Mytilus edulis: one gene and its partner. Each later gene encodes a partner of the first gene's protein in a complex. Links are inferred from orthologs where the notes say so. Each region holds a gene or a part of one and is shown on either strand. Other genes may lie near its edges.

Region 1 (8,203 bases):
AAATGACATATCAGACAAAAAAATAATTGAACATAAGTGTTATATTCAACAATTTAAACAATTCCAGAAAATGTGAAAAGCTTGCAGATGATGGATAACAAACAACAAGTGTTGGCAGTATTTCATAGCACTGGCACTTTATGCCTTTACAACCTACATAATACAGTAAATACATTACTGAGTGTTTGATAAATCTAAACTAGCTTTTAAGCAGTATATACCTGAAATTCTTTTAAAAGTATCTCTCTTGTCTGAAGTAACTTGAATTCTGTTTGCTGTATGAACTAGCTTCAGAACTTTTTCAGCTATAGATTCTGCATTTTGTAAGTCTCCTCCTGACTAAAATTGATAATATAATATACCTTTGAAATGTTGAAATGATTGATTGATAGTTATACATCCACATGCAAATATTTCAAGCATATTCAACTGTCACCACCATCCCCCCCCCCACTCTTCCGTTTCCCCAATTTCATAATAGCAGGTGCACATCACTTCAATATATCTTAATCTTTGATAAAGGAGTAGGTTCGGTAAGGGCCATATTTGGCCATGATTATAAAGTTCAATGTTACAAGACAAAAACTGTTTTAAGTTGGCTTTAAGACATATATGAGAAAGTTAAATGGTGCTATTTTTGTCAAAGTTTAATTCTAAAACGTTGATTTTAATATCTCAAAAAGGTCAAGATAAGAGATTTTCGAGAAATTTGACAATATCGTCTGGATTTCAACCAAATATAGGACCAGGAAACATAGAGTGCATACGTGGACACACTTGATAAGTTGATATTAAAATGAGAAATGTGAAATGTCTGCACAAACATTATTTTAAAAGATCTATGGACTTGACCACCAAAACTTAACCTTGTTCACTGATCCATGAAATGAGGTTGAGGTCAAGTGAAAACTGTCTGACGTGCATGAGGACCTTGCGAGGTACGCACATACTAAATATAGTTATTCTTTTACTTATAATAAGAGAGAATTTAACTTTACAAAATATCTAAACTTTTTTTCAAGTAGTCACTGAACCATTAAAATGAGGTCATGGACAGTGGACATGTGACTGACGGAAACTTTGCAACATGAGGCATCCATATACCAAGTATGAAGCATCCAGATCTTCCACCTACTAAAATATAAAGCTTTTAGCCGCCGCCGCTGGATCACTATCCCTATGTTGAGTTTTCTGCAACAAAAGTTGCAGGATGGACAAAAATGAGGGAAGATTAAAACTTGTACTGTTAAAATTGTTTTCCTAACGAATATGCAATGTATTTTTTTATTCTTTTCTTTAATTAGTAGTTAGAATTTTTTCCAACAAAAGCAAAACAAATATATATGCATGTACCAATACTACAAAAAAACTCACACTTAGAACAGCCCCATCATCAGTTAGCACCAGGTAACCATGAGAGTCATGAATCTTGTCTATTCCTTGTGCAGTGGTCATTTTCTATTTTCTGATCTGAAATAATATGATGTACATGTTTTAATTGTCACTAAACTAGTGGTCATTATACAAAGAGATACTATTCAAGGACTCTGTTTTGTGTGCTACTTCTTACCAAGTTGTAGAAAAATATCAGTTATCAATTTATATTATTGCTAAGACTGTGTCCTTAATTAAGCATGAATAGTATTAGTTTATTATCCTTACTTACTAATATCACTAATTAGATTGGATTACAATTTTTGGTTCATTTATATGTTTTGTAAGTTTATGCCAAATTAAAAAAATAGCCTATGTACCCGTTTTTTTGTGTATTTTTTTCCAATATGCACTGTTAAAGCAGAATGTTCCTCCCATAGACTCTATGTGAGAAAAAAAAATGGTAAAATAAAAATAAGTCCCTACCTACATTTACCTACCCTACTTTTTTCAAAGATGATCATGTAATATAGGAAACACATATATTGTTCTTTTGGCCTTAGTGTGGTTTTCATTTGTGTTGAACTAGTATATATCATTGTTTAGGGGCCAGCTATGGCTTTCTACAGGTACTGCATTTTGTTTTGCTGCATTACATCTAGCTATTTATAGTGGCCTTGGGCTGTTTCAGCTTTTTGATTGTGTTGATGTCTATCTATTGCATACACCGTTTCCATTCTCAGTTCAATTTAATGTAACAATGGGACGTAGAAATATCAGAGTGACCACTAATCTGTAATGGAGATTTTCTGATTTCGCCATCCTTGCTTCAAACACAGAATTCCAAAATGGATTAAGTGTATTAGATATCATTTGCTTAGTTTGAAGAAGACATTCATCAGTGGTCCATTTTTGTATATATGTTTTTTTTCCTGGGTACCGACTACTGACTAGAGCTTTCCAAGACTTCAGAATTATTTTGTCATAAAAATTCTACTCTTAGATTTTCTAAATGAGACTTTTTATGTTGAAAACTGCATTAATTACTGCCAATACCATGAATACTGGTGAAGCGAATTATTAATATCTGTGCACCTATGACTTACGTATGACTTCACATTACTATGTAACCTGTGTAATTGGGGATACAGAAAAATAATGTTGGATTAAGCAGTGTGTCGGAATACTCAGGTTTTTTTCTGAAGGATAGGCTTACTTTGGGACCCTGAAAATGTGACGGTCCAAAATTAGTAAAAACTCTGTTATGAGAGTTCCACAAATGGCTGGTGAGTTACTGCATATTTATTTTAATAAAGGCATGATTTATATGACGAAATACAATCAAGTTTGAACCAGATTGTCAATGCTGCAGAGCAAAATTTGTTTTGACAGATCTAATCTAAATTTGATTTAAACAAAAACAACTTTTATTTGATGATGTAATTTTTTTTATGGGAAATTGGCTAAATATGGTTATAATTGTAGCTATAGGATTCCAGTAATAAATTTACTCATGAACTTATTACATGTATTGATTTTAATATTTTCTGTCCCTTTGGAAGACTAAAACAATAACAAGACCTATTCTATGTCTAATACATTGCAGATATGAGATAATCAAGTTTGGGCGATATCACCAGCCACGCAGACACTGGAGACGCCACTGTATTTGTATAAATGCACGGATTTATTAATCAATACTCCTTATCACAATTCTTGGCTGACACGGCTGCTTGAACTTTTGATGTCATACAACAATCACTTTTCTATTAATTTTGTGGTGTCAGATATTTTGTTTTATGACAACAAAATTTTACAGGAACCTAAGTAAGTAAGTAAGTAAATTTTATTTAGAGTCGGCATATATATACATAATAACAGAGAAAACATGAGCTCTGGTGAGCTCTTGAACCTGTGTGATATCCAGTAATTATAATGGCCACAGGCCCTTGTTTCTATCCATTGGAAGACCCACTATCAACGTATATTTATGTAAATATATTTTGATAGTGGGTCTTCCAATGGATATAAACAAGTGCCTGTGATATGACTATGGCAGTATGGGGGTTCATTACACTGTAATACAATTGAACAAATTTGTACTACAATTAAAATTTATATATTATTTATTTATTGTCAATTGAGTTTATCTTTAAAGTTTTACAATAGTCAACTGATTGCTGAATAAAAGATATATGACTGTTTCTCATAACAATATATTTACTTTTATAAAAAGATGATGTTATAGTTCATTGTTGTTTCAAACAATATAACTTTTATCAACTTAGGGCACCTGTTTGCTGTCTGCTTATTAAACTTCCGGTAGATAATTTATTCGATCACATGATCTGTAGTCTCGTCTTCGGAATCGAAAAATCTTCAACTATTTGTATATTTGATTGTTTTGATTTCGTTACCAGTGTAGTAAGACATCAAGGGATGATTTTAAATGATTGTTTAGCCCTAAATATGTGCAAGCAATCTTCAATTTAGCGAAATCAATCGGAGAACATTGGGTCACATGATCAAAATCGAGATGTTTAAAATGGTGGACGGAGTAAATTTCCGAAAGCGAAAACTCCCCTAGACTGACAAATACGTCTCTAAAAGCATAAACACAAGCGAGTCCTTATCAATAATGTAGTTATCATATTGTAACATGGAAAACTCTTCTAAAGTAGCCAGAAACTACTTCGAATTATCGTCATACCAGGTAATTTATTTGAAAAACAGGCTCTGGCTGCAAATTAAGGTTCATCATAAGGAATTGAAAAATATGGCCGTGTTTACACCTCCAAAATTACTATGAGTACAGACAAACTGGTACATCCAGGAAAATTTTAAGGCATGGCAGGAACTAGATATATAAAAGTTATATGAAGTCTACGTTTCAGAAAATTATAAACTTACCTGGATTTTGATGTTCATTTTTTTCCAGTCTGCAGAAGATAGCAAAATAAACAAACACCCGAGTTTCGTTTGATACGGTCCACTCAGTTACACAGTTTAAACCTGTTAAATCACCTATTGTTTACAGGTGTCTATTGTCCATCTATTGTCCATTTAAATCAATACTACTCACAACATTGATTATATGAGGGGAGCTTCTCAATCGTTTTCACTACTTAGTTAATTTTTGCACCTTCTGCAGGAACGAAAAAAAATGGATAGCAAAATCTAGAAAAGTTTATAATTTTCTGAAACATAAAATGCATTTAAAATTTATATATCTAGTTCCTGCCATCCCTTAAAACTGTTGCAGGTGTATAGGTTAGTCTGTACTCAGAGTAAAATTTGGGGTATAAATACGGCCATTTTAGCCAAAAGGTTATGATGAACCTTAACTAAATAATGAAACAATATTCAAATAATTACCGACACCGACGATACAAACATTTTGGTTTCCAATTTCTTATGCGACTTTTCATACGAATAATCTGACATGGCTCATGTGAATGTGCATCTGGTTGTGCAAAGTGTGTACATAATAATTTAGCTAAAAGTAAATGAAGTATATAGTCCAAATAAATTATTATGACATCTTGAAAGGCTATTATATGTTTTCTTTGCTCCTAACATTGACAGGAAGGTGTCAAAGTAAAAAATTTGAAATAGCTTTCCAAGACATCATAAATATTTGGACTCTTCCCAAAAATATTTCTTTCAGCTATTCTTCATTCCATTTTATTCCGATATAAATCTAGCTTCGGAACCGTAGCTCTGAGGTCCTTCTGATTTGATTTATTTAAAATATATATTTAACATACATGTAGGTGCAAATTGTCAAAAAAATATCATAAGGATCTAAGAGACTAAGATCCATGGTCCTGCAGCTATACATGTATCTAGTCGAAATAATTATGACGTTGTATGATGTCTTGAAAGGCTATTATATTTTCTTCTGTGACGCCTTACGTCACAGGAAGGCGTCAAAGCAAAAATTCAAAATAGCCTTTCAAGACGTCAATGTCTCATAATTATTTGGGCTACAGCTATACCATGACGTCTACAAAGTACTGAGGGTAACATTTTATTTAAAAAAATAACATTAAGGTTTATGTACCCTTCTGTAGCCATTTTTGTACGAATTTTTCAAACCTCAATTGTATCAAAACTAAAGATATAATAAATAATAGAGATAGGCCATTTAGTACATGTTCCAAGGGGAAACTTGATGTAAAGCATTATTGTTTACTGTTTCATTGCATTTGATAGAAAAAGAGGACTTTGTGGCAAATAAATCAAGATTTTTATAGAAAATCCACAGCCTTTAATACAGAGATTTTTGTTATAAAATTTGAAACATAAATTACTCACTTGATTTTCTATGATGTGCTAGTGTTTATTTTTTACAAAAAGTTCTAAGTAACCTGTAAATTCCAAAACACCTCGTGCTAAGTCACTAAAGTCGAGCGCACCCTAAAAGGTGTACTTGATTTTGGCCATATTTATACTTGTCTTAACCAATAACTACATTTATAAACTTGTTTTAAGGAAATCAATGCTAGCACTGCATGCAATAATCCTATATCTATCAGTCATCAAATTGCCAAATATGAGAGTACAAGGACATGAAGGATAAAGGCTGTGGATTTTCTATAAAAATCTTGATTTATTTGCCACAAAGTCCTCTTTTTCTATTAAATGCAATGGAACAGTAAAAAATAATGCTTTGCATCAAGTTTCCCCTTGGAATATGTACAAAATGACCTATCTCTATTATTCATTATATCTGTAGTTTTGATACAATTGAAGTTTGAAAAGTTCGTACAAAAATGGCTACAGAAGGGTACATAAACCTTAAGAAAAATTATACAAGTAAATCAATTACAGAATAAAAATAAGAATGAATGTTTCAGTATGAATAGGGTACAGTTGACATTTATCTATGACATCACAAGTAAAATAAAGCTTGAAATCCATAACTTCATATTTATAACAAGGTTGGAAAAAATAGTCAATACTAGTAGTGAATAGGCCTTAGTTCAGTAAATAAAAGGAAATACTGGTCTATTAAAAATTTGGACAAGACATTGCAATAAAAACTGGTCTTTGCTGGTCAACAAAGGACAGATAGTCAGTGGCTGGAAAGACATGACAGAAAGCTATATGTTGTTAATTTCAATATTGTTATTTTCAGAGAAGACTAAGACATTTAAGATGTCTAGCTTTAAGAAATTTATGTTGGCCAGGACACAAAGGAAAAGACTTGACCAATCTACAGTCCTACTTCACTCTACATATAGACAGAAATGTTCCAGGTACAGTGTTATACCATGGTCTTGAATTAATATAACTTATTGTAACATAAAAGGTTTGGATGGGGAAGTCTTCATTCATGCATTCTTTGAATGTTTCGGCCATTTTTCTCTATTCACTATATTTTTGTCATATTTTTCTCTTTTTTTTAGGACCAGTTTTCTGTAGTTATTACTCATTATTTTAGATTGAGGGGTCACGGTGGTAGATAGGGTTCTGATCCTGAAATCCCAGGCTTAAAAACACGAAATAATGAGGTCACAAATTTTGATAAATTTAAATCCCTACATCCTGAAATTCGAAAAAAAGAATTCCTGAATCCTTAAAGGGTCAATCCCGAAATCCTGAGCTTAAAAACACCTGATCCCGGAGTCCTGATAAAGGTCCTATCCCCACCTTAGCACCTAGATGCTGTAAACCCTATCCAGCCCTCCTAGAGTTTGTGGAATTAACTTGATTAACTACTTATTTTAGTTTCCAACTGAAACAAAAAATGATATAAAACAAAACAATATGTGGGGTATAAATCAAGCAATAGCAATGCAATGACTGAACAGAAGGAGTGAAATCAAGAAAAATAACATGCTTAAGCCTTAAGTAAGAGATTGACTTTCATTATAAAAAAGATAAACAAAAGATATATGAGGTAATAATCCATGACCTAAAAAGCAGTACATGCTTATTATTAATTAGTCTAAAAAAACACAAAAAGCAAAGAAACAGGCTTTTATTGATGTTCTTCATCTTTAAGTCTATGTGAGGCCTTTAACATGAAGCAAAAAAACAACTCACTGCACAGCAAGTAATAGACGGTCCCTAGCACTGGTTTGAGAGAAATTCTTTGCAAAAGATTTCTGTAGACTTCTGCTCTTTGTTTGAGTCAGTCTTTTTGACACATTCCCTGTTTCCATTCTAAATTTTATTGCAACATGTAGCACACTTTCCCATTATTTTGATGTATTCATACAGTGAGTATGCATCTAATTTTGCTAATGGATGAAATGAGACTGTTGTGTTAAATATCAGCCACATTGTGATACCTTTGTGGGGTTTCTTTTCAATTATATTAGAAAGTATTTTGTTATCTGCTATAAACATGATAAAAGTACAAGGCTGACAATAGTTGATTTCAGTTATTTAAAATAACTGAAATCTACTTATTTTTCATAGTACATGTAATTGCATCATAAAATTTTCTTTTTAGCATTTTATACAAGTGAAAAGATACAGGGATCTCTGGTGAGTAACTCGGCAAAATGTTTGTAAGATTATAGCTTATCATTATCAAGAAAACTTGCTGTTGATTTGAAAAAGTACATTGAATTATTATTCATATTATAAGAACAAATGTATATGACAAAATATGTAGTAATTGCTATAACCTGCAAATTAATCCTTCTTAGAGTTGTTGCCCCTAAATGATGATTTCCAATGTATTTTTTGCTAATATTCTTAAGTTATAATAGGTATTAAAGAGAAACAATCCTAATATAAAAGGAATAAAACTTCCTACTAGAACTGGGGACTTTATTGAAACAAAGCTAAATATGTTTGCTGACGATACTCAACT
Region 2 (8,298 bases), on another chromosome or scaffold:
CCTTGACCAAATGTTTATCCTGAAACAGGACAGACAGAAGGATGAACAGAAAGACGAACTGATGCACAGACAGATAATCATACTGCCCCTAGGCGAGGCCTTAAAAATATAAGAGGATTGACGGACTTTCTCTGAGACTATTAAGACTATAGAAAAGATTAATTTGCTTGTAACTATAAGAAGTTTGCCGTCCCCCTAGTTATTTTCAGTAAGTCCACACCTACAAATGTACAAACTGTGTAACTTCTTAATGTTTAGATTTCTAGCTAGCTTATGTAAGTTTAAATTCATACACTGTTTTATATAAAAACTTATGTCTAAAATTGAGAATGGAAATGGGGAATGTGCCAAAGAGACAACAACCCGACCATAGAAAAAAACAACAGCAGAAGGTCACCAACAGGTCTTCAATGTAGCCAGAAATTCCCGCACCCGGAGGCGTCCTTCAACTGGCCCCTAAACAAATATATACTAGTTCTGCATTTCCTTCTTTTTCAAAAAAAAATTCAAACAGATTTTCAAAGATGTACTTTGAGCTATTGCTCTATAAGTCTATAACTTAACCAACTCTGAAGGTTGTTGACTTCTATCCCATCAAACTAGAGATAAAGGAAACAAAAGATACAGTTAAGTCTGCCTCATATCTTGACTGACATCTAGAAATTGACAAAGAAAGTGGGTTGATCTGCTTACCCTTCTGGAGCATCTGAGATCAACCTCCACCCACATCCCTTTTGCTGGGGTTCGTGTTGCTTAGTCTTTAGTTTTCTATGTTGTGTCTTTGAACTATCATTTGTCTCTTTGTCTTTTTGTTTTTTAGTAACAGCGGTGTCAGCTTATTTTTGATCTATTAGCTTGACTGTCCCTCTGGCATCTTTTGACCCTCTTCTAAAGACTAAGGAATTGACACTTCACACTATGTTTATTTCAAAACCAGAAGAACCAAGGTGTTATATATATACTAACAGAATTTTAGTTTCTTGGAAAAATGTGTCATACATGTGTAATAGAGGGACAGATGAAAGCCAATGTACCCCATCAGGGGTTCAAATCAACATTTGGTTGAATGTGAAAAAAGTGAAAGGTCCACAACCAAAATCCCAGGTCCTACTTTTATAAGAAATATTACATAACTCATAAACTCATTTTGTTTCTCATAAAATGAACTTTCCAGCTTATAAACAGTTTTCAACCTCAAATATTGAAGTAGTGCTAACCAATATCAACATCATTTTTGCTATGGATTTCAAGAATAAATTCATAGTCACTGAGGGGATTCCCTTTTTTGCAAGAACCTTACATCTATTTAACTGATCAGGCTTACATTGCTGTTTGAGAATAAATTGTCCATGTTTCATGCTTGACAATAAATCTTAACCCTTGTCGTGCGGGGGCTGTAATGTTACGGCCGTATCCAGACCACCGTTATTTAGGCATTAATGGCGCTCCATACATTTGAAGGTCATCATAATGCCATTTAATTCGTAGTGTATGCAAGTTTCCTCAATCTGACACTACTGATTGTCATGTTTGTCACTTTTAATATTCATTTTGAGCTCAAATACGAACTTCAAAATTAGATATCGGACAAAATTGGGTTTTTTGGAGGGATGGGCTTACCTTCGAGGTCTGAAACATGGAGTTAAGAGGACTGAAACCTTGACAAATACTGTTTACCTAAAGGCCCAGACGACTGATTGTGTTTATTATCAAAATACGCCTAGGAAACGACTACTTCAGGTTGCAAATCCAGTTAAAGTTCAAAATTGAAAAAAATCAGAAATTTTGTGAATTTTGGTGCAAATGACCTTCTATACACTGATGAACCCAGATCAGTTTCACTCCGACCTAACAACTGTTGTGATAAAAGTGTTCACTGGGGTCCACTCTACATAAAAACTACAGATGGATGCATCTATTACATGTATTAGCATCCCTTGGACTTACAGGTCGAGAAAAAGAAAAAAAAAACGTCAAAATAGACGCTTTTTGCACCTGAGGACCAACTTTGGGGCAAATTCCCCCCTACCCCACCCTGCGATCCCCTATCTTAGATTTATTGTTATAAGTATGTATCAGCATCAGGGTACAGCTCATTTGCATATCATTTGCATATTTTTGCAAATACTCGAAATTTAGACAATTGCTGATAACAATTAAGCATGGTAAGGCTTAAGACTTAAAATTTGGGTCACTCTCATGGATCCACTGCTTTAAACCAGATAAATGCTGGGTTGTCAATTTTTGTATTATTATTGGGTCTATTTTATGATTTTTTGTAACCCTTCAAGCAGTCTTCTCGCTGAGGGGCAGCCCTGGCAGCCCAGGCTTGTAAAATTGCTCTTGGGCCTGTAAAAATCATATCTGCAGGCCAACAAAATCTCACTAAAAAATTTCAAAAATTGAGCTCCTGGCCTGTAGATTTAACAGTTCATCGTGAAGACTGTTCAAGTGCACTTTCTTTATCTTAACGAATGAAAACTGTAGGCAGTATGTACACGACATTAGACCAGTCAATTCATCAAAATATAGTTGATCTAACAGGGCTTAAATTATTATATCACTCCCTAATTTTCAAAATCTTCTTTTAGTCTATAACATGCATAGTGAGATCTTCATTTCTATTTCTTTTGTTTTGTTCACGTAAATGACCATGATGACGTTCATCATCTTCAAGGCTTTTGCTTGAAACATTTAATTATCTCAATTTCAATCATAATATGGTTTTGAAATTAAGATACTGATGGTTAAAAAGGACAGCAAAGTTTAGTTTTTATTTTATTTTAATCGAAGGTCCGTCTGGCATAGCTAGTAACTGAAACAATAGTCCAATTGCAACAGTGGAAGGTCGTAGACCCCTGGCAATGCATGAAAACAGGATTCAATAATAATATACTTATCAGGAAGCACATTTTCTGATTCTTTTAACAACTTTATCAACCATGATAACATGGATAAGGACAGAAAAAAATAATCTTTATTTGGGAATTCCTTGACACTTGAACTAGTTTTTAGATTTAAAGATAATGAGGATAGTGTTTGAACAGTAAATGCTAATGTGAGGGCAGGAGTGCTATATATGTAGAATTGTTAAGCCTATGTGATATGGAGATATAAATAGTGAACCAGCTATGAACGATTGGACTGTGTAATATATATATAGTTAACCTTGTTTACATGGTGACGGATTAGTTCGCATGCTGTATATATGTTACTGTTATACATTATAATAACTACGTATACTGATTTTATGAGTGCCCAGTGTGTAAGGGATAGGGTGCAAATAAGGCTGCAAATAAGAATTACGCTATAAAAGCGAAGCTCCTGCTAGAGGAGGAAGATAAAGATTAGGTAACAGGTAACAGGTTGTATTCATAATTGGATAAAAAACACCAGATTATAGATTAAAAAAACAACATACACTATTAAACTTCGGGAGCTCATCATGTAGTACCTATCTAAGTAGAGTAGTTCCAGTATAATTTGGAAGATAAAGGAACTTCATCTGAAAAGACCCTCCCATAATTTTCAAGTTGAAGTTTTCGCTATGCGGCAAAACGACAGTTAGGCCTGGCATTTGGGTATGAAATCTTTTTCACAGTTGAACTCACGATCCTGATTTCTTTTAAAATTCAATAAACAATGTGTCTGATAGTAGAGAATAAACTAAAAAATAAAATAAAATCTTACGTCTGTCATGATGTACACTGTTTCTGTTTTCACAGTGAAGAGCTTTTAATGGTAAATCTTAAAACTTCAAAATCACTTTAAAAAGTATAGCACAGCAACGGACAAATATATTTTCCAAAATGTTGTCGTGCAGCTTTCTTTTGTTATTTTGTTTCCATTTTATTATAACTTATTTTGATTATAAGCATTTGTGAATTTTCCATGATGAAATTTAGCCAAAAGATAAGAAAAGCAAAATCTAACAATGGCGGATCCATACCGACATTTTGTTAGGAGGCACAGTGCCAATAACTGCCATAAGAGGGGACCCACTACACTAATGCTTCAGTGATTCACTGTATAACCAACCACATTTTTACCATGCAAGGGGGAGGGGAGGGCATAGCCGCCTGAATCTGCATTTTTTTTAAAATGAAAAATACTGGATTGCAAAAGTGGGCTATGCATTAATTGTTTTATATATTCGCCTGTTCTAACCAATGACAAAGTGAAAAATTCAAGTGTTGGACTTTAAAACAATAATCGAGGAAATTTTATCTCAGGACTTTTGCGTGTTTTGCGCCCCAAAACTATGGACATGTCCTTCTTCTTCTCTGGATCTTTACACCCTTTATAGGGTAACCATACTTTGTATGTCGAACAGTTCCACCACCAAAAAAATAATTGAAGAATAAATTAACAATCGTAACACAACAACATTAGATACACTATATACATTTTTTAAGTCTTCATGTGTTTTTATAAAGGAGGTTTACAGGTTTTATGTTGACTTTTACATGGGAAGTTTACAGTTTAAGACTTTTAACATACAATTAAAGGAAAATTATTATTTTTACTTTTAGCAGTTATTTTTCATATATTTTTTTACTTGTCCACTTTACTAAGTTGTGAAACTGCCTATTCTAGAGGTGGCGTGAATCAGATGTGGATACTTAAAAATTTCAAAGATCTTTTGGAGTACACACAATCTAACTCTCTTTCATTTTGTAATAGTATTAAAACATTATATTTTTATACACTTTATACAAGTATTCCTCATTCCAAACTAAAAGACAAATTGAAAGAGTTGATATTGCTTTGTTTCATAAAAAAGAATGGCCAAGCAACGAAGATACAAGTACCTTGTCTTAGGAAGGGATAAATCCTACTTTGTAAAGGATCACTCTGATTCAAACAAAAAAAATCTGAAACTGACATTATCAAGATGCTTGATTTCTTGATTGACAATATATTTGTTACGTTCGTAGGATGTGATTTCCAACAAACTATCGGCATTCCAATGGGAACGAATTGTGCCCCTCTTCTTGTCGACTTTTTTCTTTATTATTATGTGGCTGAATTCATACAGGAACTTCTTAGGAAGAAAGACTTTAACTCTACTTTCCGCTATAAAGATGATGTTCTTTCACTCAAAGCAAAATTTTGTGACTATGTTGAACGCATCTATCAATTCTACTAGAGATAAAGGATACAACAGATACAGTTAAGTCGGCCTCATATCTTGACTTACATCTAGAAATTGACAATGAGGGTCAATTGAAAACAAAACTTTACGAAAAAAGAGATGATTTCAGCTTTCCAATTGTGAACTTTCCATTTCTATGTAGCAACATTCCAGAAGCGCCTGCATACGGTTTATATATCTCCCAATTGATACGATATTCCCGTGCTTGCATTTCCTATCATGATTTTCTTGATAGAGGGTTGTTGCTCACAAGGAAGCTATTAAATCAAGAGTTTCAAATGGTGAAGTTGAAATCATCACTTCGTAAATTTTACGGACGCCATCACGAGTTGGTTGTCCGTTATGGAATAACCGTTTCACAAATGATATCGGATATGTTCATTACGTCATAACTACAATCCCCTCCCCTTTCATGATTGTGACCTACCGAATTAGACTATTTACCGGATTTGTTATCTCATAAGTAACACGACGGGTGCCACATGTGGAGCAGAATCTTCTTACTCTTCCGGGGCACCTGAGATCACCCTTAGTTTTTGGTGGAGTTCGTGATGTTTATTCTTTAGTTTTCTATATTGTGTCATGTCTACTATTGTTTGTCTGTTTGTCCTTTTCCTTTTTAGCCATGGCGTTGTCAGTTTATTTTAGATTTATGAGTTTGTCTGTCCCTCTGGTATCTATCGTCCCTCTAGGTGATCTTTTAAACAGTTTGATAAACCGACGGTGCGTTTGCGCTTTTTATTTATAAAAAAAATATATGAAAACAGAATTATCATTTTTCATTCACGACAAATTTAGGCGTGTTTGAGATGGGAACAATAAGGTTCGAGGCATACCTAGGTTTCAGAATTTAACGAATGCATCATTCGAATGTAGCAAACAATATCCCAATTCAATTCATGAAAAGCTCGGCCATTAGTGCACAGGTATTTATGTTAGATTTCTGTAACCTAGTACAGATGGTGGACAAAAGTGAGTTTCCAATCAAAAATATTTCAACTTAAATCGATATTTTTCAAAAAATGTATTACCAAGTACTTTTTATGAGCATTTCTTTATAAAATGAATACCGTAAGATGTAGAAATGTGTGATTTTTTTATTGTATATTTGGCCATGATTTTCGTGAGGTTAGTTTTCATTTTCTATTGGTTGAATAACAAATTTTTACGATTTCAGTTTGGTTAGAAACCGAAGCAAAACAAACCTTTCCAGAAATATTTTTTTCTTTTTTGTTCACCTTGTCAGAAAATTAAGATGAGCCTGAAAAATATCATTGCGAAATTAACAATAAAAACTTTAAACATTTCTGCATACTGTGGTATTTCTTTAATATAAATCGGTCATCATTGGTAGTTACTTGGTAATATGTAATATTATATTTTATTTTATCACCCCGTTAATGTATCTTTTATGTTTTTGTGTCTTTGAAGAGTATTTTTCACGCATCGGTGACGATGATGTAATGGAATTTGATGCGACTGTCATACAAGTGAGAGGTTTAGCTAGCTATAAAACCAGGTTCAATCCACCATTTTCTACATTTGAAAATGCATGTACCAAGTCAGGAATATGACAGTTCTTGTCCATTCGTTTTTGATGCGTTTTGGTTTTTGATTTTGCCATGTGATTATGGACTTTCCGAATTGATTTTCCTCTGAGTTCAGTATTTTTGTGATTTTACTTTTGAACAGCATCCGCCAACTACATTAACTCAGTATAAGTGATATCAAATCTTATGTTTATAAACCGCAAATATTCTTTTGTTTAAGTGAATTTTATTTTTTAAGGGCATACGATACAGTTACAGTGGAGATCATGACGTTGCTAACGTAAACTGTTATTTTCGCGACGTCAAACTGTGACATACCGGGAAAAGATGCATTTTTCGACTGATTTTTATCATTCAAACTGATTTAATTTGAAAACGAGTGCATGGACTCCTATTTTTTAAAACGACATATTGTTTCATTTTGCAGGGAGATTATGTGAACCAAATTTTATAAAACTGTAAATAGTGCATTTTTTTTAATGTTGATAAATATACAGCAAAAAAATACGTTTTTTTTTCTCAATTCATGACCATTTGATAAATATGAGTTATTTCTTAATAAAAAATTCATAAGTTTTTAGGATATTTATAAAATACAGAAATTACAAATTATTTAACAAAAAACAATTTGTGTTTATCTTTTAAAAAAAAAAAAATATGGCTTTCTTTCGAAAGGGAAAATACGGCCACAAATCCGAATTTTGAGCAAATATACAAAATTTCGACCTCATTTAACTCAAAAAGTAGCATATAAAGGTATATTTTTTATTACATATTTGATTTAATCAGGCAAAAAAAATTAGCCTATATATAAATTTTCATCAAACTTAAATACGGGATCAAAACTGTAGCGTATGCCCTTAATTGAGCGTAAACGTCCATAAAATTGAAGCGAAAATGCCCATAAAATATTATCAATGTTGTATCAAAAACGCAAACGTCCCGTGTCGGCAAAATAAGTTGCTACTGATCAAAGAATTTTTTTTTTTTTATACCTAAATAATTACATTAGATGTATGTTTCATTATAATACGTTATTCTGATTGGCTAACTGCACATCACGTGCTATTCCTGAAACAATTGTATGAGACAATAACATTTATCATTCACGATGACACGAGGTCCCACAATAAAGTGCACAGGTAAATTATATAAAGACTTGATAAAAAACGTGTTTTCATGATTCTAGCTAAAAAAATGTAATTATAAGTATTGAATGCTTCTTTTTGTAACTTTATAGGGTTGTAAAAGCGTTGACCGTGCGCACATTTTTAGTATGAAGCGCTTCCGCGCTTCATACAAAATGTACTTCGGTCAACGCTTTTACACCCCAATAAATTTACAAAAAGCAGCATTCAATTCTTAATTAATGTTCTAGGTAAAATAAATTGAATTAATGTATATTGAAATTTTATATACCATGCGCACGCAAACAACACAAATGACATGCATTTTCTGATCCCTCTATCACGGAACATGTCATACCCTTTCAACGACTGATATATAAAAAGGGAGTTGGGTAACCCCATGAAAATTATATATCAAAAGAAAGGAAAATAATACCTTAAAAACATCTGATTTTTATAGAAAAAT

The links. Proteins that work in one complex are often made in the same cells at the same time.
Region 2: ragulator complex protein LAMTOR4-like (region 1) and ragulator complex protein LAMTOR3-like share a complex: the UniProt entries of both Drosophila melanogaster proteins name them as parts of the ragulator complex. The link is inferred for Mytilus edulis from reciprocal best matches to the Drosophila melanogaster genes Lamtor4 and Lamtor3.

Annotation. Positions count from the first base shown.
Region 1 is NC_092346.1:47,804,718-47,812,920, reverse strand, and holds the start of ragulator complex protein LAMTOR4-like, read right to left. Parts: upstream 3,730-8,203; 5' UTR 3,599-3,729; intron 1,471-3,598; 5' UTR 1,456-1,470; coding exon 1,375-1,455; intron 340-1,374; coding exon 222-339; intron 1-221. Other genes in the region: UV radiation resistance-associated protein-like, read left to right, coding at 4,034-4,087, 6,515-6,635, 7,838-7,872. UniProt on the Drosophila melanogaster protein: Regulator of the TOR pathway, a signaling cascade that promotes cell growth in response to growth factors, energy levels, and amino acids. As part of the Ragulator complex, may activate the TOR signaling cascade in response to amino acids.
Region 2 is NC_092352.1:54,988,222-54,996,519, forward strand, and holds the start of ragulator complex protein LAMTOR3-like, read right to left. Parts: upstream 3,757-8,298; 5' UTR 3,700-3,756; coding exon 3,691-3,699; intron 1-3,690. UniProt on the Drosophila melanogaster protein: Regulator of the TOR pathway, a signaling cascade that promotes cell growth in response to growth factors, energy levels, and amino acids. As part of the Ragulator complex, may activate the TOR signaling cascade in response to amino acids.